Linked DNA regions of Mus musculus: region 2 is reported to be linked to region 1. The links are microRNA targets in miRTarBase. Many come from high-throughput screens and were not tested one by one. Region 1 holds a microRNA gene; the other region holds the end of a gene's coding sequence.
What was found. Region 1 holds the annotated microRNA mmu-miR-343 (UCUCCCUUCAUGUGCCCAGA, at 1,701-1,720, opposite strand). A microRNA usually pairs through its seed, bases 2 to 8, with sites in the 3' UTR of a target mRNA and lowers its output. Matches are read on the target gene's strand: a 7mer-m8 pairs with bases 2 to 8, a 7mer-A1 pairs with bases 2 to 7 and ends in A, and an 8mer does both.

Region 1 (4,422 bases):
GCCCACACACTTGTTCTCTGAACACGAGAATCTGACCACGAGGCTCCTCACTCAGGCACTCTGTATGGTCTTGCCCCCTGCTAATGCCCCACCCATGTGGCTGACCCCCAAGTCCTGCTGTCAGATCCCCAGTAGAAAGGCGAGCTCACCCTTGGCGTAAGTGCTGACGAGAGTGGCGAAGTTAGCAAGGAGTGTGAGCGGGGAGAAGTCGGCCAGGTCGGCAATCTCCAGGGTGTGCAGCAGGGAGCGCAGGCGTTCAGCACAGAACCTGAGAGGCAACGGGGTCAGGAGCGGGAAGCAGCAACAGGCCCGACTCTCACCATGTTTCCCTGGGCACCTGGGCATTGTGTGAAGCTACCCCATACTGTAGAAGACCCCCAGAGCTACCACTCCAGGCTGGAGCACAGCACATACAGTGCACAGGCTCACTGCTCACACGCAATATCCTGTTAAGACTCCCGGCTAGAGCCCGGCGTGGTGGCGCACGCCTTTAATCCCAGCACTCGGGAGGCAGAGGCAGGCGGATTTCTGAGTTCGAAGCCAGCCTGGTCTACAAAGTGAGTTCCAGGACAGCCAGGGCTACACAGAGAAACCCTGTCTCAAAAAACCAAACCAAAAAAAAAAAAAAAAAGACTCCCAGCTAGCAGTCACTCTGTTTCTGTCCAGCCAGTGTCACGGGCCCAACGCTCAAGGAGGAATAGCCACATACTTTCTTAGCCTCACAAAGGCTGTGTCACCTGCTCATCACCCAACATAGGGACACGTGGCTGCGGCACTCACTGCCAACCACACAGTCCAATGGATGCCCTCCACATCCAGTTCTGACCTGCCCCTTAGCCTTATCTATGGTCCAGACCCCTTTATCATCAGCAACAAGGCTTGGGCCCGTGGTTCCCCGTGCAGGCCGCACCTGAGGGGCTTGCGCTGGATGCACACCCGCTGGGCCAGGCCGCTCAGAAAGGCAGGTGGACTCTCCTGCACCACATGCTGCACGCGCAGACGCCACTTGACATACTCCAGCAGCCGCCGCAGAAAGCCCAGGAAGTGCTCAGCCGTACGGATGGAGCCAGGCACAGCCTCTGCAGGGAGACCCAGTCAGGTGGTACAGGGGTGCGTGTGCGGGGCAGGGGCTGGGTGGTGGGGGAGTGGGGAGTAGCTCACCCTGCAGCACCTCGTCCGGCAGCACAGGGTTGGCCAGGTGGGCATCTGTCTCCCGGGCCACACTGGCCTCCCGCAGGCCCTCCACCAGGCGCCGGTACTCATCCCGCAGCCGCTGCTCATCCGTCTCCTTGATCCTGATGGGGACATGGGACAGGAGCTGGAATGAGGCAGGTGCCCAGGGCACTGAGGCACACACAACAGTGGGAGCAGACAGGCACCTGAGCACGGTCTTCTGTAGGGTGTCTAAGTTGCTCTGGCAACGGTCCAGAGTCCTGCGGGTGAGGTTGACACTCATGGAGTCAATGCAGACATTGTCTGAGGAAAGAGCAAAGGGATGAAAGCCGGGCTCAGGCAGGCCTGGGGGCAGAGGCAGAGGGCTGCCACTGTCTGCACACCCTGATGCCCGCCCTCCTCACCGATGTTGTGAGCTTCATCGAAGACCACAACAGCCTTGCGAGCCAGCTCTTTGGATACCAGGTCTGCGATCTTGGGGTCCAGGAGGTAGTGGTAGCTGTAAACCACCACGTTGGCATGCAGGATCTGGGCACATGAAGGGAGAGGTTGCCCTGGGCTCTGCTACCCCCGCCACACCCACTCTATCCCAGGTACACAGAGGTGCCACAAAGACAGACACAACGACGGGTGGAAAGATGGACAGGACTGTTAGCCTTTTGTCTAAGCTCCACCTCACAGTTACACGGCAATAGCCAGGTGTGCCTGAATCACTATAAAAGGGGCTTCTTGCCCCCCCCCCCTTGCTTTCTTGCTTTGCTCTGCCTTCCTGCCCCTGCTCTATCCTCTAGTCCCTTCCCCCATCTCTCTCCATGTGCTCATGGGCAACCCCCCCCTCCCTCCCTCCCCCGCCTTTCTCTGCCTCTACTATCCTCTTGACACCCTTCCCCATGCCCTGAATAAACCCTATTCTATACTATACTGTCGTGTGGTGGCTGGTCCCTCAGGGGTAAGGGACGCCTCAGCATGAGCCTGCAGAGGCACCCCTTTCCCCACACCTCCATAGAACATATCTCCCCCTTTATCTTTTTATAAACACATCAAGGACCACCCAGGCAAGGCACAAGAAAGCAGAGATACTAGGACGGAGACAGACGATCCAGACAACAGACATAAAGACGTAACAGCACAGAGTCAAGTAGACAGATGGGCCAGCAGAAGGATGGGCACGGTGGCTCATGCCTATACCCCTGACAGCTGAGAACCTGAGGCAGGGTTATTCCAAGTTTGAGGCCAGCTGGGCTACAAATGAGATCCTGCCTCATAAGGAAACAAAACAACTCTTCACCGAGTATCGAGCCAGGAAGTAGGGGCACCAGCCCTGGCGCTGCCCTAGGGCCTTCAGGTCATCCAGGTTGTAGATGCCCGCAGGGAGCGGCATCTGGCGTCCATGGATGTCAAATTCCTGGGGCAAGGCCAGAGGGTGGCAGGGTCAGGGAGAGCGGCTCTGGCGTGGCCCCCACCCTGCTCACCAGTTCTAGGCTCTTCCCTGTACCTCATAGAAGCGGCAGTGAGGCAGGCTGGCATCCTGCTGGTACTGTGCCCGCACATACGACGCCGTTAGGCTGTGACACTTCCCATCAACATCCTTCCCAAAGCGCAGTGGAGTCACCTGAGGGGGCGGGGTGTCAGGGGACAACATAAAACAGAGACAGGAAGTGGTGCATATCAGCTATTGTAACTTGGGTCTCCAAACTCAGACACCAGGAGTAGTACGTCAGCTAGGGTTTGGGGGCAGTGGAAACCTTCACCTGATTTGGTATTTGGTCTTTTGTTCGTTTGGTTTTTGGTGTTTAAAGACAGAGTTTCTCAGTATAATAGCCCTGGCTGTCCTGGACTCATTTTATAGATCAGGCTGGCCTTGAACTCACAGAGATCTGCCTGCCTCTGCCTCCCGAGTACTGGGATTAAAGGCATGCACCACCACAACTGGCTGATTTGCTATTTGCTAAAAGAACTTCCTGCAGTACTGTAAGTGTGGAGCATGGCTAAAATCATCCCATCAGAGCTGGACATGGCAGCAGGTGCCTGCAATCCCAGTCACTCCGACACTGAAGTAGGAGGAATACAAACACAGGTCAACCTGGGAACCTGGCAACCCACCAAACAAAAGGTGGAAAGGAGCTGGGGGCATAGCTCAGTGGTAGGGAGAGTGCTTGCTAGCACACACAAGGCTGTATGGACAATCCATATCACAGAGAACCAGCCAAGCAGAGGGCCAGCTGGATGGTTCAGTGAATGCGGATGTCTACCGCCAAGCCCGACAGCCTGATTTCAACCTGGGACCACACAGTGAAGAGAGAACAGACTCCCAAAGCTGTCCTCTGACCGCCACGTGCACACACATACACACAAACATGTAAGGTTTTAAAAAACAAGTGCCTCAATTTCTCTCCAAACAAACAAAAAAACCCCAAACAGAAAACAACGATCCCTGAGTGGCCTTTCTCTGCAAGCACTTGGCTCAGCAGGGCTTTGGTTCCCTGATGTGTGTGGGTTGTGGAATACCGGCATGAACATAATGGATACTGTCAGGCAGGACGTGAGGCTGTCATGAAATTATCTTATTTTGCCTGTATATAAAAATACCCAATCCTTTGAGTAAGCTACCATTTAGATTTTGACCTGTCACAGGTCAAATGTGTGAGTCTGAGGTGCCATGTGGAATGTAAGCAGTTTCTGATCCTGGTACAGGTGCTACCCTTAGCCATAAGGATGAGCATTGGCCTAACAACTGAGCAGCAAGCCCCACTCATACTGACAACGGGTTCCCTCTGGGGCTTGCATGGAGTGGCCCAGGGTGACAGCGCAGGGCTCACCTCGGGATGAATGCACAGGTTCTTTCTTGAGCTCAGAGCCAGTCCTAAGAACGGCAGCTTCTCGCCCTCCTGCTGCTCGTAGAAGCTGAGTAGCTTACGAAGCTCTTCTATGACCTGCTCAGATGATGGGAGCATTAGGTGGGGACCACAGGGCAAGCACAAGTCCTTGCCCACCGGGCTACCGAGGGCAGAGATGGGGGACCACCAAGGCCCAGGGGAGGGGGCAGAGCATGGGTCCCATCTGCATTGCCCACCTTCTCAATCTCTGGCACGGTCCGTGAGCAGTAGATAAGTTTGGTCACCTCCAGCGGATAAGCCTGTGGGTGACAGGGACCTCAGCCCCATCCAGCCCCACCCCTCAGCCCCCACTCCAGGCACTCAGAAGGCCACTCACCCGCTGATAGGCCACAATCAGGGCCAATAGGGACAC
Region 2 (4,000 bases), not on the chromosome of region 1:
AACATGGATGGACAATTTAACGGACACTTCACCTTTCATTCTCCTGCTGATGTTAGGATCTTGCTAAGACCTTATAAGAAGTAACATTTTCTATATCTTCTTATAAAACATTTTGGCCATGTTTGTAAGATGTAACTGTTCTGGGGATGGTTGCAAGTCTACTTGGGGTTTTGCATGGACTTATACACCAAGATAGGCAGTGGATGCCTCTTGATTCACAGTTTTGCTAAGTAAGCCACCACCTAGCTAGGCATGTGGAATGATGCTACATCCAGGTTCCTTTCTTTGAATTAACCAACATCTAAGGTAAACCTTGACTAGTGAGATATAGCTGTTCACTAGTATCTAGATGTTGGTGGGGAAGCCGAGTGCTTCTCAGGGCCTCAGAGCTTCTTCATCAATGTCGGGGCCTCTCCTGCTACTTAAAAATGCCTGTTCTTCAGTGGAAACTTGTGTGCTCTTGCCTGAACAGGTCATCCCAGTGGTGGCTCGCATGATCTATGAGATGTTTTCTGGTGATTTTACCCGGTCCTTTGACAGTGGCAGCGTTCGCCTGCAGATCTCCACTCCAGACATCAAAGATAACATCGTTGCTCAGCTCAAGCAGCTGTACCGCATCCTTCAAACCCAGGAGAGCTGGCAGCCCATGCAGCCTGCCCCCAGCATGCAGCTGCCACAGGCTCTGCCTGCCCAGTGACCCAGACTGCTGTGCGTGTCCTCTTCTCTCCTCTCTCATTTTTATATTGTACATAAGGATTTTTTTTAAGTTCAGGTTTAGTCAATTTTTAAATCTCCTTTCTATAACCTCATTAGAAGTCTGAGACTTTCCAAATATGCCTAGTTTTAAAAGTTCCTCTAACTTATCAAGGTATCATCCCCTGAGGGGTTCCTTTTAGATCTTCCATGGTTGGTGTAGGAGATTTGATGTCGAAGTTTAGACACCAGAACTCTAACTGCAGCTGTGTTTCCGTCTGACGTTAGACAGATCGTTTAACTGGAGGGCATCAGATGCATCACTTGTAAATAAAAAAGGTTTGGAATGATGCCCAAAATTGCATTTGGCCTTAAAACTCTGACTCGATTATTTTCCTCTACTTGTTTAAGACAAAACTGCCTGAACAGGACCCTTCTGCATTGTGTTTAGACCACATGGTTTCCCCTTCTTGCTTTCATCCAAGTTCCTTGAACACTGATCTGATCTGAATTGAGCTCTGTTTGACCTGTTCTGCTAGTACAGTCAGCTGGCTCCCTGCTGGAGGAAGTAAGAGAGGAGCTGATTGGTTGCCTAGCAACCAGTCTTGATATCTAAATAGAGATGGTGCCAAGGTCTGAAAGTCACCCAACCTGTGTGTGGAGTAAAAGCTCATAAAGTAAGTATTAAAGGAGAAGATGGTGACATGGAAAGCCAAAGGATTCCACGAGAGTAAGAATGGTTGTCAGTGGAGGGACTCCATGGGAGAATTGTCACCAGCCACATACCTTGTCACCACTCACACCATCTTATATGTGAAGTTGATGAGCAACTATGATTCCATGTGCCTCATGGCAGACACTCTCCTCTTCCTTATTTTCTTCTCAAAGACCATCTGGAGGGAGTCGGGCATCTGTGATATGCTCTGACAACAAAATTGACCGTTCTTGTTCAGAGACTTTCAAGAGTCTGACATTCAGATTTTTCCATTTATGAAAATGAGGTGTTTCATATATTAAACGTCTGGATAGTGCTCTTCTGGGGAAGGCTCAAACCTGCTTATATCACTTGTTGTGAGCCATGGAGACAGTGAAGAACAGTGCAGTTATGTCTCATAGAGTGTCTGCTCCAGTCCCTTCTCATAATTTGAATTCCAAGACTTAGATGAAAAGTAAGATGGGTCTCTCTGGTTATAGCCTCAATCCTCTTGAATACTGGTGTCTATCTGTTTCATGTCACAGGGATATGCCTCTCTGTACAGTCTGCTGCCCTTACACTAAAGGTAGCACCTTTTGCTTTTCTAGCCACTGAAAGTTGGGATGCATTTAAAGTCTAACAGCTCAACCTAATTTTGGTGGCAGTGAGACTTACTTAGGATGCTTAAGATTTGGTTTAAAGTTCTCTTAGAGATTATTAAAAGGAGGACCAAGAGAAATCTGGGTGAGTTAGGAAAGGCAGGTGTCTCTGTGAATAAGAGCAAAGTATAATTTTATACACATGGCCATAGTATGAACATGTCAGAGTAAAACTCTTTGTATGCTAACTAAAAATGTTTAAAGAGAAGTTTAGGTAGAAGTTTAAAAGTTAGGCTTTTATAGACCAGGAATCATGCAAGGCTAGGGACTTTATTCTTTTTTGGAGGAATGAGTAGCATCATTTGGTGAGATGAAGTGAGGGAGTCTTGATGTGTGGATGCTCCATCTGGAAGCTCAGAGTTAAAAGTAACCCATTACAGAGAAAGTGGGAGGGTAGCTGTGGAATAGGGGACATTTCCTTTCCCTTCTGTGACAAGTCAGCAGGCTATGAGGAATGTCCAGACAACAGGATCTGGTAAAGAATGTTGAAAAATATGTTCTGAGGGCTATGGATTGAGTTATTAGTGTGTGACCATAATGAAAAATTGACAAATATGTTGGGACAATGCATGATTTTGTGTGGTCCTATCTAGGCAGTCCAGTTTCTTGTCTTGCATCTTTTTCGGAATGCTGGGAGCACACACTACATGCAGGATCTTCTCTTGTCATATTCAGTAAGCTTTCTCTGGTTTTAGTAGATACCAAGTCCCCAGGAGCTCTAAGTTTCCCAATGCTCCCATTCACTCTCCAGCTGTCTTCTTCCTGCCTTCATTTGAAGACTCAGAAGGGAGGAGGATTTCCCCCAGTTCCTCCTTTTCCTTACTGTGCACTCCAGATTAACTCCAATGTTAAAAGAACCACTACAGATAAACCCTGAAGGCAGATGCTGAATCTCATCTCCTCTCCACAGTTCTCAGTTGTATGTTCATGTAGCATCTTAAACTTTAAGAGTAACTGTGTCGTTTGTAAATTGCTCCGCATCTATGTTCTGCTTGACTGACTGCCAACTTGGAAAGTCAAAACTGTTTGTCTTAGATTTATTGCCAGGTCTTTAGCAGTGTCTGATACAGTGTGTTCTAAGATATTTGTGCTGTAATAAATGACCTACGTCTTTCAATTTGGAGATTTATTGCTAACTATCATGAGAACGTAAAATAAACTTGGGAAGAAAAAAATATAAAGCTAGAGTACTGGTTCTATCAATTTTTAGTACTGACTCCCCCTGAGCTGAGAACCTAAGTTAGACTGGCAGGCCCTACAAACTGATCCTCCTTACATACTGTCTGTCTGTCTTTAACACACTGCTGGTCCTTTTTGGTATGAAGGTACCAGCATAGCACCACTGTAAAACCTCCAGTCTGGGTCTCCATTTTGCTGCCCATAACTTGGGGCCATTTGTCCAGGCTAGAGTTTTCTTAAGATTTCCTTCACAGAAGATATAGGCAAATTCCTTATGTCAACATTTGACCTTCCTATCTGCTGTAAGACTTCTCTGGAGAAAGGAACAAGGCACTTTCTAAGGTCCTAATGGCAGATGAGGGTACAGTTCCACCGAAGTTCAATCTGGGGTACCAAGGAGTCCATTAGGTTTACTTACAAAGCAGTGGGTCAGAGGTTATGGTCAGGGGCATGGGTGGCCTTGAAGCGGCCAGTAAGGATGTTAACTCACCTTTGGCTTCCTAGATGGTGTTCCCCTCCTTAGTTTTGCCCATCCTCCTTGAGGTATAGATAACTCCTTGAGGTATCATTCAATTAGGGTAGACTCTAACCTCAGAACTTCCGAGGCTGAGGCAGGAGGATTGTCATGTTTGAGGAATACATAGCAAGACATTGTCTCAACAAACAAATCCCCACCACAACAGTGTGGCTGTAGAGATGAGACCTGCTTTTTCTCCCAAAGATTTGAATTCCGTTCCCAAAGCCCGTGTTAGGCAGCTCACAATATTTTTAACTT

Region 2: miRTarBase lists Irf6 as a target of mmu-miR-343. Seed matches in the 3' UTR shown: 7mer-m8 at 2,831-2,837.

The regions. Positions count from the first base shown.
Region 1 is chr7:19,383,986-19,388,407 of GRCm38, reverse strand. Mir343 (microRNA 343) reads right to left here and starts at 1,765; the gene lies at 1,691-1,765. It overlaps Ercc2 (excision repair cross-complementing rodent repair deficiency, complementation group 2), which reads right to left. Exons shown (of 23, transcript NM_007949.5): 3 at 4,387-4,422; 4 at 4,247-4,309; 5 at 3,993-4,106; 6 at 2,669-2,785; 7 at 2,462-2,578; 8 at 1,578-1,701; 9 at 1,380-1,476; 10 at 1,162-1,295; 11 at 911-1,079; 12 at 150-268.
Region 2 is chr1:193,168,810-193,172,809 of GRCm38, forward strand. It overlaps Irf6 (interferon regulatory factor 6), which reads left to right. Exons shown (of 8, transcript NM_016851.2): 8 at 473-3,227. The coding sequence ends at 697. Among named protein-coding and RNA genes, the nearest start is that of A130010J15Rik, 2.8 kb to the right of the region's middle.